Linked DNA regions of Coturnix japonica. The main gene of each other region encodes a partner of the protein of the gene in region 2 in a complex. Links are inferred from orthologs where the notes say so. Each region holds a gene or a part of one and is shown on either strand. Other genes may lie near its edges. The genes, in order: POLE4 and POLE2.

Region 1 (10,565 bases), on a different chromosome or scaffold from region 2:
GCTCTCACTATATACATATGGTACAGTCACTGCAGGCAGGGAAACCTGCACAGAATCAGCCCTGAGTCCAACCCTGAGCCTTCCCAGCACCAACAGGGTCACCCTCAGCAGAGCTGCTCTGCAATGGAGGGGGGGGGAGGTCTCTGCATCAGTGGCAGCCGCAGCTCCCAGCCACCATATCGTCGTACTGCTTGAGGACCACGTTCTCATCGTCGTCGAAGTAGAGCAGGTTGATGGAGTGGAGCTTGTCGGGCACACAGCAGGGGCTGCTGACGCCCTCGCTCAGCTTCAGGGCGTTGATGATGGACTGCACAGTGGCGTGGTTGGTCGGCCGCATGTTCTCACCCAGGGGGAAGGGGCAGGAGCCCCGGCAGTGGTAGGCGTTGTAACCCCGGGGTGAGATGATCCACCCCGACCAGCCGATCTCCTCGAAGTCCACGGACAGGGGGTGCCTCTGGCAGGGCTGCAGTCGGTCCACAGAGCGAGCGCTGCGTGGGCCGGTCAGCTTGGCAGGGAAATCCCGAGGCTGGGAGGCTGCCAGAGATAAGAACCGTTCTGTTAGTGAGAGCATGAGCCTGAGAGGAAGGGCAGAGAGCGGAGCCACCCCTTGTGCAGTCACTGCAGATACTGGGAGGTGACAGCTCTGCAGCCCCACGGTGGTCATCAGCACGGGCTCAGCTCTGAGCTGGAGCCTTCAGGCAGGGACCTGGGCACGGCCCCATCTGTGCTGCACCCACCTGGCACTCCGGCCATGGGCAGGGATGCTCCTCGGCGCCCATCATCTGTGAACAGGACCAGCATGGGCTTCTTGCTCTCATGGTGGTCCCCGCTGGATGCAAACTGCACGGTGGGGGCCTCGAGTGGGCTCCCACCCAGACCATGGACCGTCACCAGCAAACCTCGGTTGCTGCTCTCATCCTGGGTCCAATCCCGAACCTGCGGAAGCAAACATAGAGTCACCACAGGGTTGGAGCTGCAGCTGTGTCCCCATGTGCCCAGGACGTGGCAGGGTGGGCGATCGGACAGCAGCAGCACCGCAATGGGGCACCCACCCACCCCCACCCCTCCCTACAGGCTGCACGCCCCGACCTCAGGCAGGCACCACTGGCCCAGAATGGAGTGAAATGGGTTAAAAAGGTTCTCAGGTGCAAAAAGGCCATTTCTTCCCTCCGTGCCATCCATATACACACTGTGGGGGCACTCACAGCCTGCGTGATGGCAAAGACCTCCCAGCCCGAGCCCTGCAGTGAGAGCAGCCTGGATGCCAGCAGCTTCTGTCCTTCGGGGGAGTCCGGCTCAGTCTTGTCCAGGATTTGGTACACGCTGACCTGGGGATGGAGGCAAAGGGCGGTGAGCAGCCATGGCCTGGGGGGAGGAAGAGGATATGGGGGGGGGGGAAGGATGGATACAGGGAGAAAGCAGCGGCACTTCACTGCTGGGCACAGCTGGGCACATCCCTGCCCCCATCCGCACCCCAACCCCCTCACCTGGTCTTTTGGGGCTCACCTGACAGAAGTGGTGCCTCCTGGGCCCCTCAGTGGCTCTCGGCCACAGACGGAAGAGGTGCAGCTCCGCCGTCAGGATCTTCTCGTTCTTGGCCACGCTGGAGAGCACAAAGAGGAACCGCATCTTCTCGCTGTGAGCTGCAGGGAGGGACAGGTTGGGAAGTGAGACCAAACGGCCCCATCCCACAGCCCCCATCCCCAGCACCGCAGGGACCCCCCCCCTTACTTCTATCCAGGAAGCTGCGGACCGTGTTGCCCTCCAGGACGTCGGGGTTTTTGGTGACGCCGTCGGCGTTGGCCACCGCGTTGAACAGATCCACCATGTACTGCGGCGGCTGTTTGACGTGGGCTGGGGGCGGCGGGGGGTCCTCCATGCCAAACACTTCCAGCAGCTTCTTGAGAGCCTCAGCCCTGCGGCTCTCCGGGGACGCCGGCCGTGCCAAGGCCAGCAGCAGCAGCACAGCGCCCAGCATGGCTCTGTGTCCCAGCCCCAGCCAGACTCCCCTCTGCAACCCCAGCCCAGCATTTATAACTGGCTGGAAAGATGGATTGGAGTCAAATATGCACATGGGCAATCAGGAGGGTAAAGAGAGCTAATAGCCATGCTAACAAGGTGCAAAGACGGGCACCCTGCACCAATTAGCCCCAGTACACAACGGGAGGGGAGGGCTGGGGGACAAGGACAAGGGTCCAGCTGTGCCCCTCTGCAAGGCTGCCCTGACTGCCTTTGCTTTGCATAGGAGATTAACTGGATTTTAATGACAGCACTAATGGGACCAACAGGAACAACCGCAGCCAGGCTGGACCGGGCCGCATCCCCTCCTGTTCCCATGCAGTTCGTGGCTGTAGGGTCTCTGTGCTGGGATCAGAGCCCACCTCTTGCTTGTGCACATCCACACAGTGCACCCCGAGCTGCACGGCCAGCTGCCATCTGTCCTCTACCCCAACCCCACATTCCAATGGTGAAAGGGCCATTAATTATCCAGAATACACAGAGAGGTGACCACAGGCTGGGGTTAATTGGCAGAGGAAACTCTTCACATCCTTTCCTTCCCCTTCCCTGCCCGCCAGCATCCCATAGGACCAGGGCTGCTCCCCACACAGCCCCGAGGTGCCCACCCCCCCATTCCCCTCCTGCCCACATTCTGCCCATGCTGTGCACAGAGCAGCTGCCAGACACCACACGTGCAGGGCAGCATCCCGGGACGTTGGGGCAGAGCTGCCAATTGCCTGCAATGTTTACCTTACAAGCTGCCAAGCATTTTGCAGAGGGTTCATTTCCAACGAGTGCTGCTCTCATTGAAACCAGCGGCTCTCATTGATAAAAGCCACCTTCTGCCATTTACATACAGCACAGACAGTCTGGCAGGGGTCTCACAGTGGCCCCACCTGATGAACCCCCCCCCGCCGCACTGCTGGACGGCCACCCCTGCCCACTTCTGTACAGGGCTGGATGTCCCCCATCCCCTGTGCCCAGCTCTGCCTTCCTCACCCAAGGGTCTGTCCCTTCCTCCCAGTGGAGCTCAAAGTGCCCACGCAGAGCTGGGATTTCTGCCTTTGGGGGTTGATCTGCCCCCTCCCGGCCTGAACCAACCAGCAGAGCATCCCTCTCCTGTCCCCATCCCACCCCACGGGCTCCGATGGCACTGCGGGCAGGGGATGGCACCGGCAGCTCCATCGGGTTATTCTGCAGCCCACTCCACTGCAGGGATGGATGCAGCCAAAGCAGAGGGTGCTGCCCTGAATCCGCTCAGCTGTTACCCCCAGAATCAGCCCAGGAGCTGCAGGGCATCACTGCAGGGCGGTGGGCTGGGGCAGCCGGCAGCTGTGCTTACCTAAGCAGGCGGGATCCCCCGAGGAGCAGCGGCCCCAGCTCCTTCCCACCTCAATTTCCTGCACAGATTTGCAACACAAAGGCACGAAGATCCCCCTCAGCACCACGCTGGGGACACCCCGGGGGACGGCCCCAATACACAGCCCAGGGCAGGCAGACCCAACCAAGGAGGTTTTGGGGATGCAGCATCCAACCACCACAACTGTTTCCCAAATAAACCCCTCTCAGCTCCCTCACTTGGCTTTGGAAAGAATCCCCCATCCCCATTGAAGGCTGTCGGCTGCTTTCAAGTACGGATGGTGACTCCTTATGAGAGCCCCGGACTGCTGGAATGGGGGATGTTTTAATCACGATCCCTCATGGCTGAGGGGCAATAAAGGGCAGACCCCCCCAAGAGCAGCACAGCCCAGGCTGCTGTGGGCAGGTATTGCTCCTTCATCCCACAGCTCTCCATGCTGTGACCAACTCATGCTGGTTTCCAAGCAATGTGCAGGCAGAGAATGGTAACAGCCTCCCCCAGAGCCCCCCTCCTCCTGTGCCAGCAGCAAACATTCATCTTGGACAGCAGAAATGCAGGAGGAAAGTGGCCCTGGGGCAAAGGGAAACCCAGCTGAAGGGGGGGGGGGTCAGTCGGCATTTCCCAGCTGGGCCGTTATCACCCAATGAGGCACCATCAGCCACCCCGGGGACAACTGCACCTTCCTGTCACACCTGTGGGGTGCACGGATTCTCCCAGCCCTGGAAATGAGCACTTGAGGCTGCCCGTGTGTCCCTGCAGACCCCCATGGGGTGGATGCCACCAGCCATTCCATTCCCTCTGACTCAGTGCAGCACCGAAGGGCCCCGCTCTGCTTCAGCCCAGCAGGTTTTGCTCTGTCTGGGACAACTGAGGCTGCAGTTCTCATCTCTAAGTGACTTTGGCACCACTTTAGTGGCCAACACTTTACAGCTGCATGTGTAACTGAATCCAGAGCTGCTCCCAAAGGCCACAGACCCACGGTGAACAAAGGGACCCATTTTGTCCTGTCAGGACACCCCACAGCATCCCTGAGCCTCTGCTCGTGGGCTCAGCCCAAAGACAAACCCTGATTGACCTGCTGTGAGCAGGCGATGCTGCCCAGCAAAGCACAGCAGGGAGAGATCAGACACAAAACCAGGCACCCCTATGGGCCCTGTGCTCAATGGGCCTGAATCAGCCCCGAGGGCAGCAAAAGGAACCTGCTGGCAAGGAAGGCACCGTGCAGCTCTGCCCAAAGCAGGACAGCTCATGGGCCACACGCTGTGCTTTGGCAAGGGCAGGGAGGGCTGCAGCACAGCCCAGCAGATCCACGCACAGGAGAAGGGCCAGGTTCAGCAATGAGAGCAAAGGAGAAGAGCAGTGAAACACGGCAGGCAACGCCTTCAAAAGCAGGGATTTATTACTGTCCAGCTGTGACCATCGCAGAACTTGATGGAGCCATGCAGCCCTAACAGCAACACGAGCCTCTCTGCAGCTCATCTGTGTGCCTGGAGCGGAGCATCCCTTCCAAACTGCATCTGTGCCACAGGAACAGCAGAGCAGCACAGAGCAGCATCACTCAGAACAGCCACTCAAAACAGCTCCGCCTTTAATTGCACTGGCCAAAAAGGAACCCAACAAAACACACAGAGACCAAAACATCCACTTCAATAATGTATCTACAGACCAGCAGGTGGGATAAACCAACAGGGAGCTGCCTCGGGAGCTCAGCTCTGCTCCATGGTGCCTGGGGGGGGGGCAGGGCTGGGGAGCAGCAGCAGAACAAGGAGGTCAGAGTCCTACAAAATACTTACAACAAAAGCTTTCAACAAAGATCTTACAGACACTCAGTCGTTACACAAAGCACCGCGGCTGCCCACATTGGTGTCCCACTGCTGGGAAGTGCAGCCGGTGCCGGCCGACCCATCTGCACAGAACCCCATTGCTGAGCAGCTCAGTCCAAAGTGCCTGGAAACAAAAACAACGATGAAGCAAAGCAGCCTCAGGGACCAGAAAGGAAAATGAAACACAGCTACAAGAACAGCTGGAACTCGGGTTTATAGGGAGCTGTGGGTCTATGGAGGGGGCTATATGGGGATGTGGGGCTAAAAGGCCCAGATAAAGGGAGTATGGGGGGGAAACAGGGGGGCATGGGGCTATGGGGGGCTGTACCAGGGATATAGAGGAATATGTGGCTACAGGGAGCAGTGGGGGGGGCTATAGGAGGCTGTAGGGTTATAGGGGGGGCTATAAGTGGGGTGTGGGGCTGGAAGGCCCAGATACAGACCCAGATAGTGAGACCATGGGGCTGCAGGAGGGATACAGGAAGGATATAGGAGGGATATAGGAGGGATATAGGAGGGATATAGGAGGATGCGGGGCTGCTTTGAAAGGGATTATGGACTAATGGGGGAAACCGAAACTCACCCTCCAGAAAAGCGAACTCATCAACAGCCTCAATGGCGTTATCTGCAAAGGGAAAAGGGCTCAGTGCCGACACAGACAGAAGGGCCAACCGGGAAGAGCTGGGACGTTTCTCTTCTCTTCGGACCCCCCCCCCCGGTTCCGCCCCGTACCCAGGTCCTTCCTCTGCAGCGTTTTCCTCTTCCCCTGCTGGGCGAACACAAACGCGTCCTTAGCGATGTTCTCCACGAACAGCTCCTGCGGGGCGAGCACGAGCGTCACACGGACGGAACGGGACGGAACGGGACAGACCGGGACAGAACGGCACGGACCGGAGGCTGCCCCGCATTACCCCGCACTGCCCCGCGTTGCCCCGCCCGCCCCCGCCGCTCACCGCGGCCCGCGCCAGCACGAACACGGCCTCGTGGCTGGCCAGGCTGACGTCCGGGTCCGCCTTCACCAGCGCCTTCACCCGTGACAGCGGCAGCCTGGCACCACGCGCCGCTCCGGGTCCCGCTCCCGGTCCCGCTCCTCCCGCATCTTCCGCCGCCGCCTCCGGCCCCGCCGCCGCCGCCATCCCGCAACGCGCATGCGCAGTGAGTGCTGCCTGCGGGGCGGAGCGGAGCGCCGGCTGTCATCGCTGTGTGCCGCTGGGGGGCGCTGTGTCTCTGTGCCGCTGGGGGGCGCTGTGTCTCTGTGCCGCTGGGGGGCGCTGTGTCTGTCTGTGCCGCTGGGGGGCGCTGTGTCTGTCTGTGCCGCTGGGGGGCGCTGTGTCTGTCTGTGCCGCGGAGCCGGGCGCCCCGCACGGGACCGGGCCCCTCCCGCATCCCCGGCCGGGTTCTCCGTCCTCCCGCCGCCCCCGAACTCGCCCCCCACCCGCTCTGTGCCCCACATCCCGCCCTCCGGCCCCGCTGTGCCCCAAACTTCCGCTCTGTGCCCCAAATTCGGCTCTCCGCCCCCCTGTGCCCCAAACGCAGCCCCGCAGTCCCCATAACCCCCCATCACCCACGGACACGGACGGGGCTCCGCTCAGCCCGTTCCCCCCCGGCCCGATCCCTCCTGTGCCGATGCTGCGGCCCGGGGTCGCTCCCTGAGCCCACGTCGGTTCCTGGACGGGGCAGCAGCATCTCCTCCCCCCCCCCCCACTCTCACATTCAGGCCGCAGCCGCTTCCTGGCGTTGCGCGCAGCCCCGCACCAACACAACGTTAGGAAACAGCTTCTGCTTTCAGTGCCGGGCGGGCTGAGCTCCTGCAGCTCCTGCAGCTCCTGCAGCCCCTTCAGCCCCTTCAGCTCCTTCAACTCCTTCGGCTCCTTCGGCTCCTTCGGCTCGGACGGCCCGCACGGTTCTCAGGAGGGAGGAGAGCCCATAGGACGCGTCCGTGGATGGGAAATGGTGAGCGCGAATGGTCCGACCCGCACCCGCACATCGTCACAGCCGCACCGGGCTGGGGGCAGTGGCAGCTCCGGAGCCCCCCGAGCAGCTCCCGGGATGGGTCAGCACCGGGTGGGCTCAGACAGGACAAAGCATCGCGGTGCCAGACGCTGCTCAGGTCGCAGTGACAGCGGCGCCGTTGCCCCGACGGCGCCATCGCGGGCAGCTCCGCGTCCCGGCTCACGGAGCGGCCACAAACACCGGGACGGGTCCCAGCTGGAGCCCTCGGTGCCCTCCGAGCACAAATCCCATTTTCCACCGTTTTTTCGCTGCCGTCCGTGCAGAACGTGGGCAACGTGCGCTGCTGAGCCCCCGTGGGTTCTGCCCCGGGACCAGGGGGCACCTGCCCCTTTTTAACACCAATTTCACATTATTTAATGCCCCACATTTGAGATCCCGCGGCTGAAAATGTCGCGCTGGATTCTCTGCGCTCCGGCCGTTCTGTTGTGAAAGAAAACAAAGTGATGCAAGAGCAAAACGAACCGAAATCCCGGGAGGAGGAGAACTAAAGAGAGAGAGACGCGATGGGGGGGGGGGGTAAGGGGGAGAGGGAGAGGTTGGGTGGGGAGAGGAGCCGGAGGGGAGAAGCGCAGCTCGCCCTGCGCGGATCCGAGCCGGGATCGTGGCACAGCCCCGCGCTGCGGCCGCGCGCCCCAGTTCCGTGCCCCCATCGCGGGGTGAGCGGCAGGAAACGCTCCGGTCACAGAATTGGGGCAGATCCGCCGCCTCTCGGCCTCTTTTCTTCTGTTGTTGGTTTGGGTTTTTTTTTGCCCTCAGCGCAGCGTGTTCCGGCAGCGCCGTCGGGGCTCAGCGGTCGCGTTCCCCGCGGGGCACGGGCTCAGTTTTCCTCCGTAACGGCTGAACCGGAGCTTCCCTCGGTCCCGCAGGAGCACCCGGACGGTAAAGAGGCGGCGGGGCGACACCTGCGAGCGAAGCTGAAGGACGGCGTGAAACCTCCCGCAGCGACCGGGCGGGCGCGGGGTCCCCCCGCAGTTTTCCTCGCGACGGTGACGGGACGGGCGCCCGCGTCGGGCTCCAAGGGCGAACCGCCCCCCTCGTCCCCCCTCGCCGGGACGATGGGCCTCAGCAGAACCGCTGCGCCCCGCGGCAAAGCTCACATCGAGGGTCCCGGCTCCCGTCCGACGCCCGCCCCCCAGAGCCCGGAGTGGATGGAGCGGCTGAAGAAGGGCATCGCTCCGAGCGCCGCCTCCCACCCCCCGGCTGCCAAACCGGGAGGACGGGACGCGGACAACAAGGGGCTCGGAGCCGCCTCCCGCCCCCCCCCGAGGAACCAACCCCCGCACAAATGGCCGCCGCTCAATGACGCGGCCGCTCCGTCGCTCCCCGCCGCGGGCGCAGCCGCTGCCGGTGGAATCCGGGGCTCGGGGCACCCCCCGCGCAGGAAGCCGCTGCCTCACGCTGCGCTGCTGGGAGCGAGGCCGGCAAAGCCACGGCGGCCTCCGGGGGTGGATCTGAAGAAGTTCCATCGGGCTGCACCCCACGGGGAGCCCGGCCGGGCCGCTGCGGGGCCACGGAGCGCTGTGCTGGGTACGGGGTGGGGATGGGGATGGGTACAGGGTGGGGATGGGGATGGGTACAGGGTGGGGATGGGGGGCCGCACACCCGGCTGCCTTCTGGTCCCTCGCTGGACCAGTGCAACCTGTGGTTGCTCCCTCTGCCCCCAGGTCACACAACGCAGCTCCCACCGCGGGACGCTCAGAGCGCAGCAGGGTCAGTACCGGGGAGGGACTTTTATTTCGGGGGTCTCTGACCGAGTGGGAAAAGCATGAAGTGGGATGGTGGGGGGTGGGCCGGGACCCCCGTGATGCTCCCCCGGCGGTGCACACTCCATCCTGGGCTCCCTGACGGTGCTCTGCTCCATCCCAGCGGTGGGGAGGAGATCTACGATGACGTTGAGAGCGTTGAGCTGCTCGGGAGAGACCGAAGCTTCCCGCCGCCCCCCACATTCCGGCCGCCAACGCATCTGCAGCCCAGAGGAGGTGGGGGCAAAGGGGGGTGTGGGGCGGGGGGGACGAGGTGCCCCCACTGCCCGGTGGGGCCTGTGACACCAGCCCTGCTTGTCTAAGGGGTGCAGATGCACTCAGGGTGTGTGGGCACCCTGGAGGCCATGGGAAGTGATGCTCTCAGCCCCCACCACCCTGCGTAGCCCTCTCCATGCTTGGTTTTACAGGGGGAGGTGCTGCTCAGGCCCCCAGCACGGTCGCGCTGCTGGTTGCTGCACAAAGGTAATGAGGGGGGTGAGAACCTCTGGGCCAGGGCACCAGGGGGGCAGCGGGAGGAGCCAAACCTTCCCAGCACTCACAACGTCTCTGCAGAGGAGCTCAGAGCTCCTGGAAGGCAAAGCCAATGACACTCAAGGAATGCAAGAAGGAAGAGAAAGCAGACCGGGAGTTTCAGAAGAAATTCAAGGTGAGCAGCCAGGAGCTTTTCCTTCCCAGCTCCCCCTCGCTGTGCAGAGGGGCTGCGTGCTCCAAGAGCAGCTGGTGCCCAGCCGGCCGCCCCATCGAGGCTCCCCCAGGGCAGACCGAGCCCTCAGCGCCGTGCTGCCCCATAGAGGAGGCAGTTGGAGCTCAGGCAGCCAAACTCTGCTCGTGTCTCAGTTCGAAGGGAACATCACCGTCCTGACCCGGATGATGGTCGACCCCGCAACGACGGAGAAGAGGGGAGGGGGTAAGAACCTCCCGCTCAGACGGGGTGAGATCCTCGATGTCATTCAGTTCACCAACAAGGAGCAGATTCTCTGCAGGAACAGCCAGCGGAGATGTAAGTCGGCCGCTGCCCCACACAAAGCATCGCTCCTGAGGGATCCCAGCTCCATCCCTGGAGCTGCTCTGCTCCCTCCCAGCCTCCCCCCCCCCCAATGCTTCTCCCCACTCTATTGCAGACGGTTACGTGCCCCGCGCTGCGATGCTGCATCTGTGAGTATCTCCTTCCCCAGCCCTTCCTCCCGGCACCAACAGCGGCCGCAGGGAGATGTGGCCCCTTCTGAGGACAACCTGGTGTCCCAGCTCTGCGGAGGAGCTGCCCGGGGGGGCACAAGGGGCAGAGATGGGGCAGAGATGGGGCAGGGCTGCCCCGTCGCGGTGGGGGCTGCGGGGTCCTGGAGCACTCACAGCTTTTCCCCCACAGGGACACGGACATCTACGATGATGTTGATCTGTGCGGTAGGTGTGAGTAAAGCCCTGCCGGTCCCACGTGCCCCAAGCAGAGCAGCAGAGCCCCCCACGTCCCTCGAGTCCCCCACGGAGCCCCGCTGAGCGCTGTGCAGCCCAAATGGGAGCGGCTGCATCACTGCGGTGCTGATGGGTCAACGTTCCCACCGGCAGAGTGACCGACCCGAAGCACCACCGGACCCTGAGGGCTGAAGCTCC
Region 2 (11,361 bases):
GTGGGACGCGGCCTAGGACAACCACAGCAAAACTTGCTCATCTGGCTCCTGCCAGAAGCTGCAGCTGTGAAACACCAGCTGATAAAGAAGGACTGTGTGGGAGTTCAGACTGTTGACTGTAGAGAACTGTCCTGTGAGTGCTGCCATCTGACCTGTAAAGTAGGTGGAAGTAGAAGCTTCCGACCACAGGTGGTGGAGCACTGCAGGGGGGTCCCAGGGCTGCTGTGCATGACCTGTGTGCTGGGGTCACTGCTGAACCGAACCGAATGGAGCTGTGCTATAAGCTCAATGTAGACTCCAACTACATGTTTAAGTGGTCACAACCCATCATCCCATCAACGCCCAGGCCTTCCCGTTGGCTTGCCCTTGAGCAGCAAGCTGGGATACACATTCATTCCCATCCCAGCTCCTTCACTGTTCAGTCAGCAATCCAGTGAGAGTCAGCCAAAGAGTGGCTCCATTTGGAATGAATGGGATTTGACATAAATCAGGTACAGCTCTTCATCAGTGGTGTAGAATGTCTGAGAAACACGTATTTGAATGTTTGTAAAAGGACACAAAGTGAGACACGCATCAAGAAGGGAGGACGTTAACTGTTAATGATTGTTAACGTTTAAATGAATAAAAGAAACAATGAGGCACTGGGATGATGGTTAGGACACAGGAAGGAAACATTTGATGGAGTTAAGAAACACATCTGTAAGTCAAGTAGAGAGCTCTGATGTGGTCTCAGAAAGAAACCTTGGGCAGTGTGAAGCAGCTCCTAGGTTTTGCCATGGGATGGATGGGGCATCCACAGTCTCTCTGGGCAGCTGGTCCAGCACCTCACCACCCTATATGAAGAAGTTCCCAACCTAAACCTTCCCTCCTTGAGCTTAACTGATCATAAACCATCAGGCTGAGTCAGCTCTGTCCTCTCCAGCCACGTGTGCTGATACCATAGCACTCATGTCAAGAGTCATTGTGGACTGGAGGCCAAGAGCTGGGCCTGGCTTCCAGAGCACAAGGCAGATGGTTGAGGGAACAGAAATCCGCAGCTCACACTGGAATACTTTTATATCTCTGGTGGGAGGCTCCAGGCAACCGAACAGAACCCCAAGCACTGCAGGGAATTTCCCCCGTGTTCCTGGTTTGGACATGTATTTTAAAAGAAATTACTATTTCTTATGTTCAGAGAGGGCTGCCTTCCTTCTCTGGGTCAGACATTGGCAGCATTGGATTTTTCTTTAAGAAGAAAAGGTGGTAATCTTAGCAAATAGAAGAACTTACATAAGGGTTCATAATTCACACCTAGCTGAGCTGAAAAATGGATCGTGTTTCCTGCCAAAATAGCTGAGACCTGTCAGCTGGTAGTTTTATGTCTAAAGTGAGTAGATAGATTCAGCTTTGCCCATGAGCTTCCTCCAGATGAGGGGGATTGATTATAAATGATGCAGTTGAGAACGGACTACAGAAAATAAGCTGACATTTTCAATCTGGCTTTATATCCCTGCAGTGTTTTGATTGAGGATCTTTTCAGAGTTGCTTTCTGAGCCTTCTATGAAGCAAAGCTGTGCTTCAGCAGATGAGGCTGGGAGTATTTCGGTGAAATATCAGTCAATTTTTGGCTGGAGAGAAGGCAGCTGCCCCACAGGACTGGAACTGCAAGAGGTGCAGCGCATTTACTGTGCTCTGTGCTAGGACTTGCTATGCTGTGACAGACTAAAGATGCTCAATTCCCTGCCTGTGTGAAAAGTCAGTGGTGGGGGCATCTGTAGGATCACAGCATCACTCAGGTTGGAGCAGACCCCAGCCCCAGCCCACCCCGCTGTGCCCACTGCCCACATCCCTCAGTGCCACATCCCCACGGCTCTGGAGCACCTCCAGCACTGCTCTGTATGAGAAGAAAGCTTTCATCCAACCTGACTCGTCTTTACTGATGCTGGAGCATTGACAGTCACTGCTGTGGGGTGATGAACTAAAAACTGAGTGTAACTTATACAGCATGTGGGGCCAACTGACTTTTGTCTCAGTGAACATGTTTGGATGGGACAGATAATATGTCAGAGTGTAAGAAAACAGACCAGGCTCACGGTGTGCCCTTCCTGCTACAGAGCTCACAAGGCAGTGGGTAAAGGCGTTACTACAAGTAAGGCAGGCGGAGTTGGAGCCGGCCGGGCTGGAGCGGCGGAGCCGCAGCTGTACTCGCCATCCATGCCGTCCCGCGGCCTCCTCCCACCCGGGGCAGGGCCAGGGCTGTGGGGCGGCGCGGCGCTGCTGGGCGCCAAACGACAGCCATGGAGCCCGAGCGGCTGCGGCGCCGCCTGAGCTCCGCGTTCCGGGTGCGCGGGCTGCTGCTGCGGGCGTGAGTAGCGGGACGAGGGGAAGGCGGCGCGGGGCGAGTGTGGAGGCGGCTCCAGGCCTGGGCCCGGCTCGGCGGCTCCTCAGGCTGCCCGAACGCCTGCTGCCCTGCCATGGGCCTCTGCCATCCGCCTCCGCCCGCGGCGCGGGTCTAGGGAGCATCAAAAGCTGCTTAAAAGCTCTCCTTTATCCCCTCTCCGATCAGCTGATGCGCTGTTGGGTCGATACTTGTATTTCGCCTTTGAAGATCATGCATAGTGATAGCTCTGTTTTGTACCTGTTGTGAATAGATTGTGATTATTTTGGACGAGGTCCTGGCCATGGAATAATGAGTTTCATTAGGAGACCGAGCCCTGAGCCCACTGTTAAACAGCAATGAGAAGGTTGGGCCGTCAACTGAGGTGCCAGTTTGATTGTCTGGCAGATGATGTTAATAAGAAAATCGTTATCTTTAACTGCAAGTGTGTAGTCTGAGGATGAGGGAAGGAGTGGATTTGTAATTCTCATTGTGTGTGGCCATGTGTGGCACTGAGGGATGCGGCTTAATGGACACAGTGAGGATAGGTTGGGCTTAGAGGCCTTTTCCAACATGACTGATTCTGTGATTCTACAATAACTCCAGTATCAGAGCTGCTGATAAAGTGGAGTGTGTCCTGCAGATGGCAGCTGGGGCTAACATGGGCTTGCAGTACCTGAGGGGTGAGCCAGCCCTTGGGAAGGAAGGTGAAGGTGGTCCCAAAAGGTGCCCAAAAGGGACATGGGGAGTATGCACATCTACCAGAACCGACACCATTCAGATGAGCTTTACTGAACATGAATTGCTTTTTGGGCTGACTTTCTTTGTTGACATTAGGGAAGCTGTAAAATATCTCACTGAAACTCTTCGGTCCCTCAATGAAGAAGAGTTTGAAGATGTAATCGACAAAATCATCGATGCGGTTGAAAAACAGCCTTGTAAGTAAACACTGTTTTTTTCCTAAGCTTGCTACATTTATCTTGCACTTACAGTGTTATTCAGACAGGGGTAGTGACAACTTATGCTCTACAGTGTCACTGTGGTCTAGGAGGTTGATCAAGATTTGTTAACATTTTGTTTTGTTAAATACTGAAGTTTGTAGTGTCAGCAAAAGCTTCTTTGAAAAAACTCTTTGAGAGGGCAGATAACAGCAGGACAAGGGGAAATGGATTGAAGTTGAAAGAGGGAAGATTGAGGTTGGATGGCAGGGGGAAGTTCTTTATTGTGAGAGTGGTGAGGTGCTGGAACAGCTGCCCAGAGAGGCTGTGGATGCCCCGTCCATCCCTGGAGGTGTTCAAGGCCAGGTTGGATGGGGCCCTGGGCAGCCTGGGCTGGTATCAATGTGGAGGTTGGTGGCCCTGCCTGTGGTGGGGGGTTGGAGCTTCATGATCCTTGAGGTCCCTTCCAACCCAGGCCATTCTGTACAAGGTAGTGTCACTTTGTTATTTGAAAAGTTGGCAACTTGGTAGCTCCTGACTTTTGGATTCCAGGAGTATTGAAATTCTTCAATGCCAGCTACTAAGAGCTCCTAGCTGAGTTTGTGTGAGCATCTTTGCATCTGAAACTGTCATCTAAAATATTCAAATAAACCAAAGAAATAGCAAGAAGTTAATTCACTTGTTATTCCGTAGCCCAGGCCCAGAGAAATATTAGTGTTGTTGACAGCTGTAATTTTCAGAGCCTCGCTGTAACTGTGTCCTCAGGCACAGCATCCCTAATTATGGGCCACAGAACACAGGGGTTGTCACATCCTTACTTGAACGTGGCTGAGGGAGGTGGCACCGATGCCCCACACATGTGTGTGTTTAATGTTTTGAGCTCATGAGTACTAGGAAACCTGGCCAGTTTTTTGTGAGAGGAGATTCAGTCCCATGTAAATGAGACCTGGAATAAATGTTAGGCCTTGTAAGAGTTCAGGAAACATTTTCAGCCTCTCCTATTTAAAGTAGGTTAAATAAAATGTGTTCGTTGCTTGCTTGATCTATAGAGTAGCGACTACAGAAGTTACAACTTTATATTCTTACAGTAGCTATTGGAAAACACAGTCGTTCAGATTGGGATCTAAAGCAGTTTGAAGAGCTGGTCCTTACCTAGTGTGAAGCCTGCTGCTACAAATTACACCGTGCACATTTTTGAACAGTTCTGAATCAGTACAAGAAACTCCAGGGTCAGTGTAATACCTGTGGGTGGATTTGCTAACGCTGGCCTTTGTGCAAGGTGGGATTTTCACAGAATCACAGAATCACAGAATGACCCGGGTTGGAAGGGACCTCAAGGATCATGTAGTTCCAACCCCCTGCCTGGCAGGGCCATCAAACATCCACATTTACTAGATGAGGTTGCCCAGGGCCCCGTCCAACCTGGCCTTGAACACCTCCAAGGACGGGGCATCCACAACCTCCCTGGGCAGCCTGTTCCAGGGCCTCACCACTCTCCTAGTGAAGAACTTAGTAAAGAACAGCACCGACCAAGTCCTTTTGTGAATCCATGCCCTGGTGTCCTTCTCAAATTCAACGACACGTTTGTGTTTAGAAATGTTTTTGAATTTCAATTATCAGTTTAACATCTATGAAGGCAACAATGTGCCTGTCTCCAGGATTGTGCTAAGCTGTTTGAATACTTATTTATGACAGCAATCTGTGCAATAATGTTCTGGAATAAAATTAACCTCCAGAATGTGAAAGTTCTCATCTAACACATTTGTGGTGTATTTGGCAGCTTTGTATGAGCTATAATTGTCTTGCTCTCCACGTTTAGTGAATTAAGGGTGGGCACAATATGTGTGTAGGTTAGTTTTTCGCTAGAGAAGCATCCTACCAGTAAGAATACTAAGCGATCCATCCCGTGTGTTGTTACCTTTGTGAAAATACCCTTCTTTGTGTAATAGAGAAGACTCACCCATTTCTTGTAATATATTTCAGACCTCCTTGCTTTCTTACCACTCTCCTTATGCTGCCGTTTTAATCCATTGAACTTTTTTTTCCAGTGTCAAATAATATGATTGAACTGCCCACCGTGGAAGCAGCTGTCCAGGAATGTAGCCAGGCGATAGATGAAACAATGTACGGTGACATTATCTCTTTTTATTTGATCTTTGTGGGAGTTGGTTCACATTGCTTTATTTCTGATGGGGAAATAAATGCCAGGCGTTTCCAGCAGTGCTACACATGCCAGTAATTGCTTTGTGCTTTGTCTTCCTGATGCTGCCTTGGAAGGTTGGTAATGGTTCCTTCTTAGAAAATTGGTTCTCATGGATAGTCCTCTGGGGGATTCTAAATATAATGCTGACATTCTGGAATTAAAATGAGCTCGTTATGTGTTACATGTGACACAGATTGAATATTAACCGATGAAAGAAACCAATGGTTAGGATTTAGAGGGGACTCGTTAATTCTGTTCGTTTCTTTATTTCCTTTTCTCCAGATGAAAATTATATGAGGTTGTTTTTGTGACTTTCATAAGAGCACTTGGAAAAGTTTTCCTCCAGGGTGCTGCTTTCTGCTTTTTTTGTGTGTGTTTTTTGTTTTGTCTGGCAGGGCTGTTATTTGGAGAACCATGATTGATTTTCACTCTCTGATAACAAAGCAGAGAACAATTACTTGAGCTTCTGAGAGTTTTATTTGTGATTGTGATGAATGTGTTTTCTTCAGTGTTTGCCTCGTGTATTGACATCGTAATGCAAATCATGAAAACAGATGGTTTGTTAGGCATGGCAGATACTGTGATCCCACAGTTCCTCAGTGTGAAGCAAATTCATTTATTTTTGACTTTTCTCCCAGTCACTGGAACCTTAATAATGCTGACGGTTTCAAAGTGACTTTTTCTTATGTCACTTCATGTACTTAAATGCGTTTTTTGGTACTGGCTGCACAGGTTCTCACTGCAGAGTCCTGAAGGGAATACTTCACAGGTCACTTGTGCCTCTCAGACTTTAAATTACAATGAAGGAAGCTTGGGGATAAAGTTTCGTACGAAATAAACAGTATGAAGTCTGAGACACCCTTGTCTTATAGGCAGCGACTGTTGTCCTGTGCTTCAAAACCATAGTGAGGGTTCATGGAAAAATTTTCATCTCTTCTGATCAATTTGATGCTCTTAGGCTAAGAGAGTAATGGGAGAGAAGAACAGAACCAGTACATGTAATAGGAGCTATCAATCAACTCAGTCAATGGTTTGAAGTTTTGTGTTTGTTTAAACCTATTCACATAAAGCACACCAGGACTGTTCTGTTGACAGAAAAGGTACCAGAGGATAGTAATGGAAAAAGATGAATCTCTGTGATATTTCTAAGTAAAGCTCCTTTTGTTTTTTGCTTAGAAGGTGCTGAAGTAGCCAGTAGGTAAAGTGGAGCAGGAGATACAGTAGTAATGCAGGGTAATAGAGAACAAAGCCAATGCACTTCTCTTCCAAATGTTTGTTTAGTTATTTTCTCTCCTTATTGTTTGTTAGTTCCACCTCAGTTAATGCTGTAAATTCTCATTTCAGAGAAAATGTTTTCAACATTATTGGAGCCTTTGATATTCCACGCTACATTTATAATTCAGACAGAAAGAGATTTATACCGTAAGTCGTGCATGTTTTAAGCTTCAATTGCTTCTTGTTTTAAGAGAAAGCCTATATTTCTGTATGTCTAAGAAGTCTCTGTTCTCTTCTTTCCCTCTTGGGTTCACTCATCTCAAGCTCGTGTGAGAGAGTAAGATAATTTTGTTTCTCAAAGCCTGACTGACTCTACAGAGGCTGTGATAAATGCTGGCTCATTAATAAATGTGCCATTGGGTTTTCCCCACTAGGTAGGATGGAGCAGAAATGGCCATCTCTGTCTCTGTGGCAGTGCATTCTGTGCTGCCTGCGATCTGACTAGCTCTGAAACTGGAGTGTTCATCACACAATGTGCTAACCATGTTCATGCCATTTAAGGAATACAAGAGACAGGAAGGCTAAGGGCATACATCACTAACATAATGATTGCTTTTTTTCTTTCTGTATTTGGCTGATGGATCTTTTTCCCAATAAATTTGGTCTCTCTGTTGTCTGTATTTATTTTCTAGGCTGTAGCTTACAACGTCCTGAAGCTCTGGGGCGTTTCTAAAGAGACCTACAGTATGTTTAAAATAGAAAAAAATGGAGCGCACAGAGATCCCCCAGGATGGAAAAAGAAATAAGTAGTTGCAGGAATTGGTTACGAATGTTCTGCTAGAACATTTACATTTACTGAAGAATTTACATTAACAGCAAGCAGCCCTGACTGCTGAGCCCAATAGAGGCTTTACTTTTACAGCCGCTGCAGGTGTTGTTAGCTGAGAAATTGTTGGTGACGTTCATGGTGAGGCTTTGCAATGACCTTCATGTAATGTCATTTTCTAGTCCTGGTTCATGAATCTGTCGGTCAGCCACAACATTCTGTGTGTTTGCAGGAGGAGGTTGATTCCAGTGCCACTTTCTGGCTTTCTAGGCTATGAGAAGCAGAGCACTGCATGAAGACATTCTGTTCATCAAAGGGAAGAAACTGTACTTGCTCACAGTCACTTAATAGGCATAAGTGCTTTTAAAGGATGGACTTCTGCAGAGTCCTGATCACATGGAAATACAGGTCTTGAGGTCTGTGATGTAGAGGAAAATTAAATTGATATAGCCTTCAAAAACAGAAACACGGTGGCCCTAGCAGAAATCTTGCTCATTGCCTACATATATTATGCAGTAGTGTTACAGCTTTTGCAGACACCTTTTAAATCAATAAGTAATTTCTGTATGTGGAATGTACCTTTTTTAATCTTGATTTTGTTGAACTTCTTGCAGTCTATCAATGACCAACTTTCCTGTACCAAATTTATTTGGAACTGCCAGAGATAAAGCAGAGTTGTTTCGTGAACGCTACTCCATCTTACAACAGGTCAGAAACAGTTTTGCTTTGTTTAACAGAATACATGGACAAAATGCTTCTTCTTTTCTGCTGTTAAATACAGATATAGTCTTCTCAACTGATGCCATGCAGTGTGATGGATGCATGTGTTTGAGCATTTTAGCATTGTGTCATAAGAGCAGGTTATCTGTTTCTATATGTGCCTTCTTGTCTCTCCTGTGTTACTAGCCTGTCATTGTGCGTAGTGCTTGTTGAGATAATACAAACCTGAAATCCTGGGAAGCTCTCATTTGGCCTCTTCTTGAAGCATTGACGTTTGCTTCTGGCTTATTTCAGTTATTCATTTTCCAGTTTTCAGAATGCTCAGTAGGAGCCAGCTACCCTTTGTCATCTCATGGTGGCAATTGTGGCTTATCCCCAGTTGTGAGCAGCTCCTGAGCAGAACTCCCCAGCAGGGCTTACTTTGCACTGCTGTGGGGGTGGTAGCCACAGTTATTGGCAGCATCTGTAGGTGGTGGCCCTGTGCAGTCTGTGCACTCAGCTTGGAGTCAGCCTCTGGGCTCATCCCTGAGCAGGACCTCAGCTCAGTTCTTTCCTGCCATCCACTCTCCCCACACATTGGAGTGTAACCCCTCTGTGCTTTGCCCTGCAGTCTGGCATGAGCAGTATAAGATCAGGGAGTGAATGGCTGATGTGATGACTTGTTGTTTATGATGTGTCTGCTCTAACAGATGCGCAGCACAGATCATGCCTTGTGCTAGCAGGCTCCATGCAGCCCCAACCCCAGTGAACCACCAGGAGGCAGGCAGGCAGCGAGCCCAGCTTTTTGCTGTGCCACCCCACAGTGACTAGCTTGGCCTTTGGACCAGGGTTACATACCCCAGGGCACCAGCAACTCTGTCTTCCAAAGAGTGCTACTGCTGGGAGCCTCTGTCCTGGAAGGCCACTAGCTGAAGATTTAGTTCATGCAAACAGTATGTTAAGTTTTCTCCTTTGTGACCTCCAGAAAAGTGAACGTTCAAATAACGATGGGTGAAGGCTGCTAGTTTTAATTCCTGCATGTGGTACATGGGCTGGTAGCAATGGGTTTGTTCCAAGGAGAGATATTTAGACTGCATGAAGAACATTGAAAGAAGTGAAAATTTGCACAGTGCATTTTCTACGTGCTCTGCACTTTAGTTGTAGTGTAGCTTGCCCTTGTTTGTAAATGAAGACCTCAAACACAAAACAACAATAAAAAGTATTTGCTTTTATAATAGGCCCTGCCCTGAAGAAAGGACCCGCTCTCTTCCATATAGCCAGCAATCAATACAGTTTACCTTCCCTTGCTGTCTCACTGTTTTCCTGCAGGTAGTCAGAAAGAACTTCTAAAGCTATTACACATGCATCTACTTTTTGGGCTTAGTTTTATAGTCCAGTGTGAGTCTATTTCTTAGAAGCAAATTACTGTCAACACAACTGGTTGTGCGAAAACAAGTCAAATGTTTCTGGATGAAATAGAGTGAGAGAACTTCATAAATTATTTTGTATGGTGCTTGTAAATGAACCTTTTGACAGCACTGCTTTTTTTAAAACTATATTACTTCAATTTTGGTTTGTGCAGAGGACTCACAGACATGAGCTGTTCACACCTGCAGCAGTTGTCGTTCATCCTGACGACAGTAGGAGCAAATTCCAGGTAAAAAGTCTTTCTTTATTTCTTGCAGAGGGAACTGTTCTTGGTGCTACACTTTAATGCAGCAGCACTCCTCCTGTGACACATTATTTCTTCCATCCAATATGGGTGATCAATGAAAATGAGTATTTTTTTCTATCATTTTTAGCTGGTGTGTCAAAATGGCAGTTATGTGGCTTACATCAGCATGATGACCAAGCTGCTTAAAAACAGCTATGAAGTGTACGAGAAATGTGGCTTCCCAATGTGGAAATACATTAACTGCTCAGCTTTACACTTCTTTTCCCTTTACTTGAGAATATTTTTCTCGTTTCTTTCATAAGCACCAGGTTCACAAACCTCCACTTGAATAAGTTCACAATCTGAGTCTGTTCTGTTTCCATTTCAGTTTTTGAATATTGAATGCTGTTCTGATATTACATTATTATTATGTGTTTTTAAAAAAAACAGGCATATGTGTGTCTGTGGGTACCAAATAACAGGTTTTGTTTTGAGCACCGTGCCTGTTCCTGCTTGTTCAGAGTGTGCCATCTTGTAGGGAAAAAAAACAAGTGGCCTTAGCTGAGTCGAGCTTGCATCTCCACACAGCCTCTGTAGGCATCTTTCTCTTTTGACAGCTTCCTATTCTCCTGTCAGCAGTGGCAAGAGCATCATTGTTTATGCTGGTGTTCTGGGAGGATCGTCTCCCTTAACTGCAGCTTGGCAGACCAAAATGAGTTTGTCCGGAGAACGCAGACAGCCTGCTGTGTGGTATCACTGCTGTTACTCAGGGCTATTCTCTGTCATCCATCTGAGGTTCCTCAGCAAAAATAATTGATGTTACTGCCTGGCTGGAGGCTGGCCCTGTGGTTCACATCGGATCCTGCTGAAGATCCAGTTACTACAATTGAAATTCATATGCAAGAGCAGAAATTGCCACTTACTCTTTTCAGTTTTAATGTTTTTGTAAGCAAAATAGCAACAACAAATATTTACTTGCTAAGCACTTCTTGGTGCTACATTTGACATTCAGAAATGTGTCCCTGATTTTCTAATGAACCTGAATTCTGTCTTAGCTTGTTTGTGTATTTATGCAAGAATATGTGTGTGTGCTGTGTGATACTTTGTCTTGCTTGCTTCAAAAAAGCTGCTTTGGAGACTTGGAGTTAGTCTGACATGATTCTTTGCCTTTGGTTCCAGCTTAAAACAGTAGAAAGTCTGTTGGGCAATACAACGAAAGTGAGGGAAGTGATTGTCCTTGGGATGATAACTCAGCTCAAGGAGGTAAGTTGCTATTTACTGTGGACTGTACAGATCATCAGTCATTCAGCACTAGAATATATTAGAAAATGAGGAGGCTCAGTCAGCACCTTACCCTCCTGTATAAGCTGATGATGGAGCTGCCATCAGTGTCTATGGTGAAAGACTCATTCCTTAAAAAGAGGTTAACATTTTCTGGGTGTGCTCAATACTGAAATGCTGAGGCCTCCA

What was found.
Region 1: POLE2 (region 2) and POLE4 share a complex: the UniProt entries of both Homo sapiens proteins name them as parts of the DNA polymerase epsilon complex. The link is inferred for Coturnix japonica from reciprocal best matches to the Homo sapiens genes POLE2 and POLE4.

What each region holds. Positions count from the first base shown.
Region 1 is NC_029543.1:369,504-380,068, forward strand, and holds POLE4 (DNA polymerase epsilon subunit 4), read right to left. Parts: upstream 6,335-10,565; 5' UTR 6,318-6,334; coding exon 6,135-6,317; intron 5,999-6,134; coding exon 5,914-5,998; intron 5,807-5,913; coding exon 5,765-5,806; intron 5,306-5,764; coding exon 5,292-5,305; 3' UTR 4,740-5,291; downstream 1-4,739. Other genes in the region: bone morphogenetic protein 2-like, read right to left, coding at 149-534, 738-936, 1,206-1,328, 1,507-1,643, 1,732-2,074; PRAM1 (PML-RARA-regulated adapter molecule 1), read left to right, coding at 7,132-7,134, 8,061-8,721, 8,859-8,904, 9,061-9,173, 9,365-9,419, 9,510-9,603, 9,795-9,957, 10,079-10,112 and 2 more. UniProt on the Homo sapiens protein: Accessory component of the DNA polymerase epsilon complex. Participates in DNA repair and in chromosomal DNA replication.
Region 2 is NC_029520.1:52,274,045-52,285,405, reverse strand, and holds the start of POLE2 (DNA polymerase epsilon subunit 2), read left to right. Parts: upstream 1-2,174; 5' UTR 2,175-2,276; coding exon 2,277-2,344; intron 2,345-3,193; coding exon 3,194-3,294; intron 3,295-5,342; coding exon 5,343-5,418; intron 5,419-6,841; coding exon 6,842-6,919; intron 6,920-8,152; coding exon 8,153-8,246; intron 8,247-9,819; coding exon 9,820-9,894; intron 9,895-11,070; coding exon 11,071-11,154; intron 11,155-11,361. UniProt on the Homo sapiens protein: Accessory component of the DNA polymerase epsilon complex. Participates in DNA repair and in chromosomal DNA replication.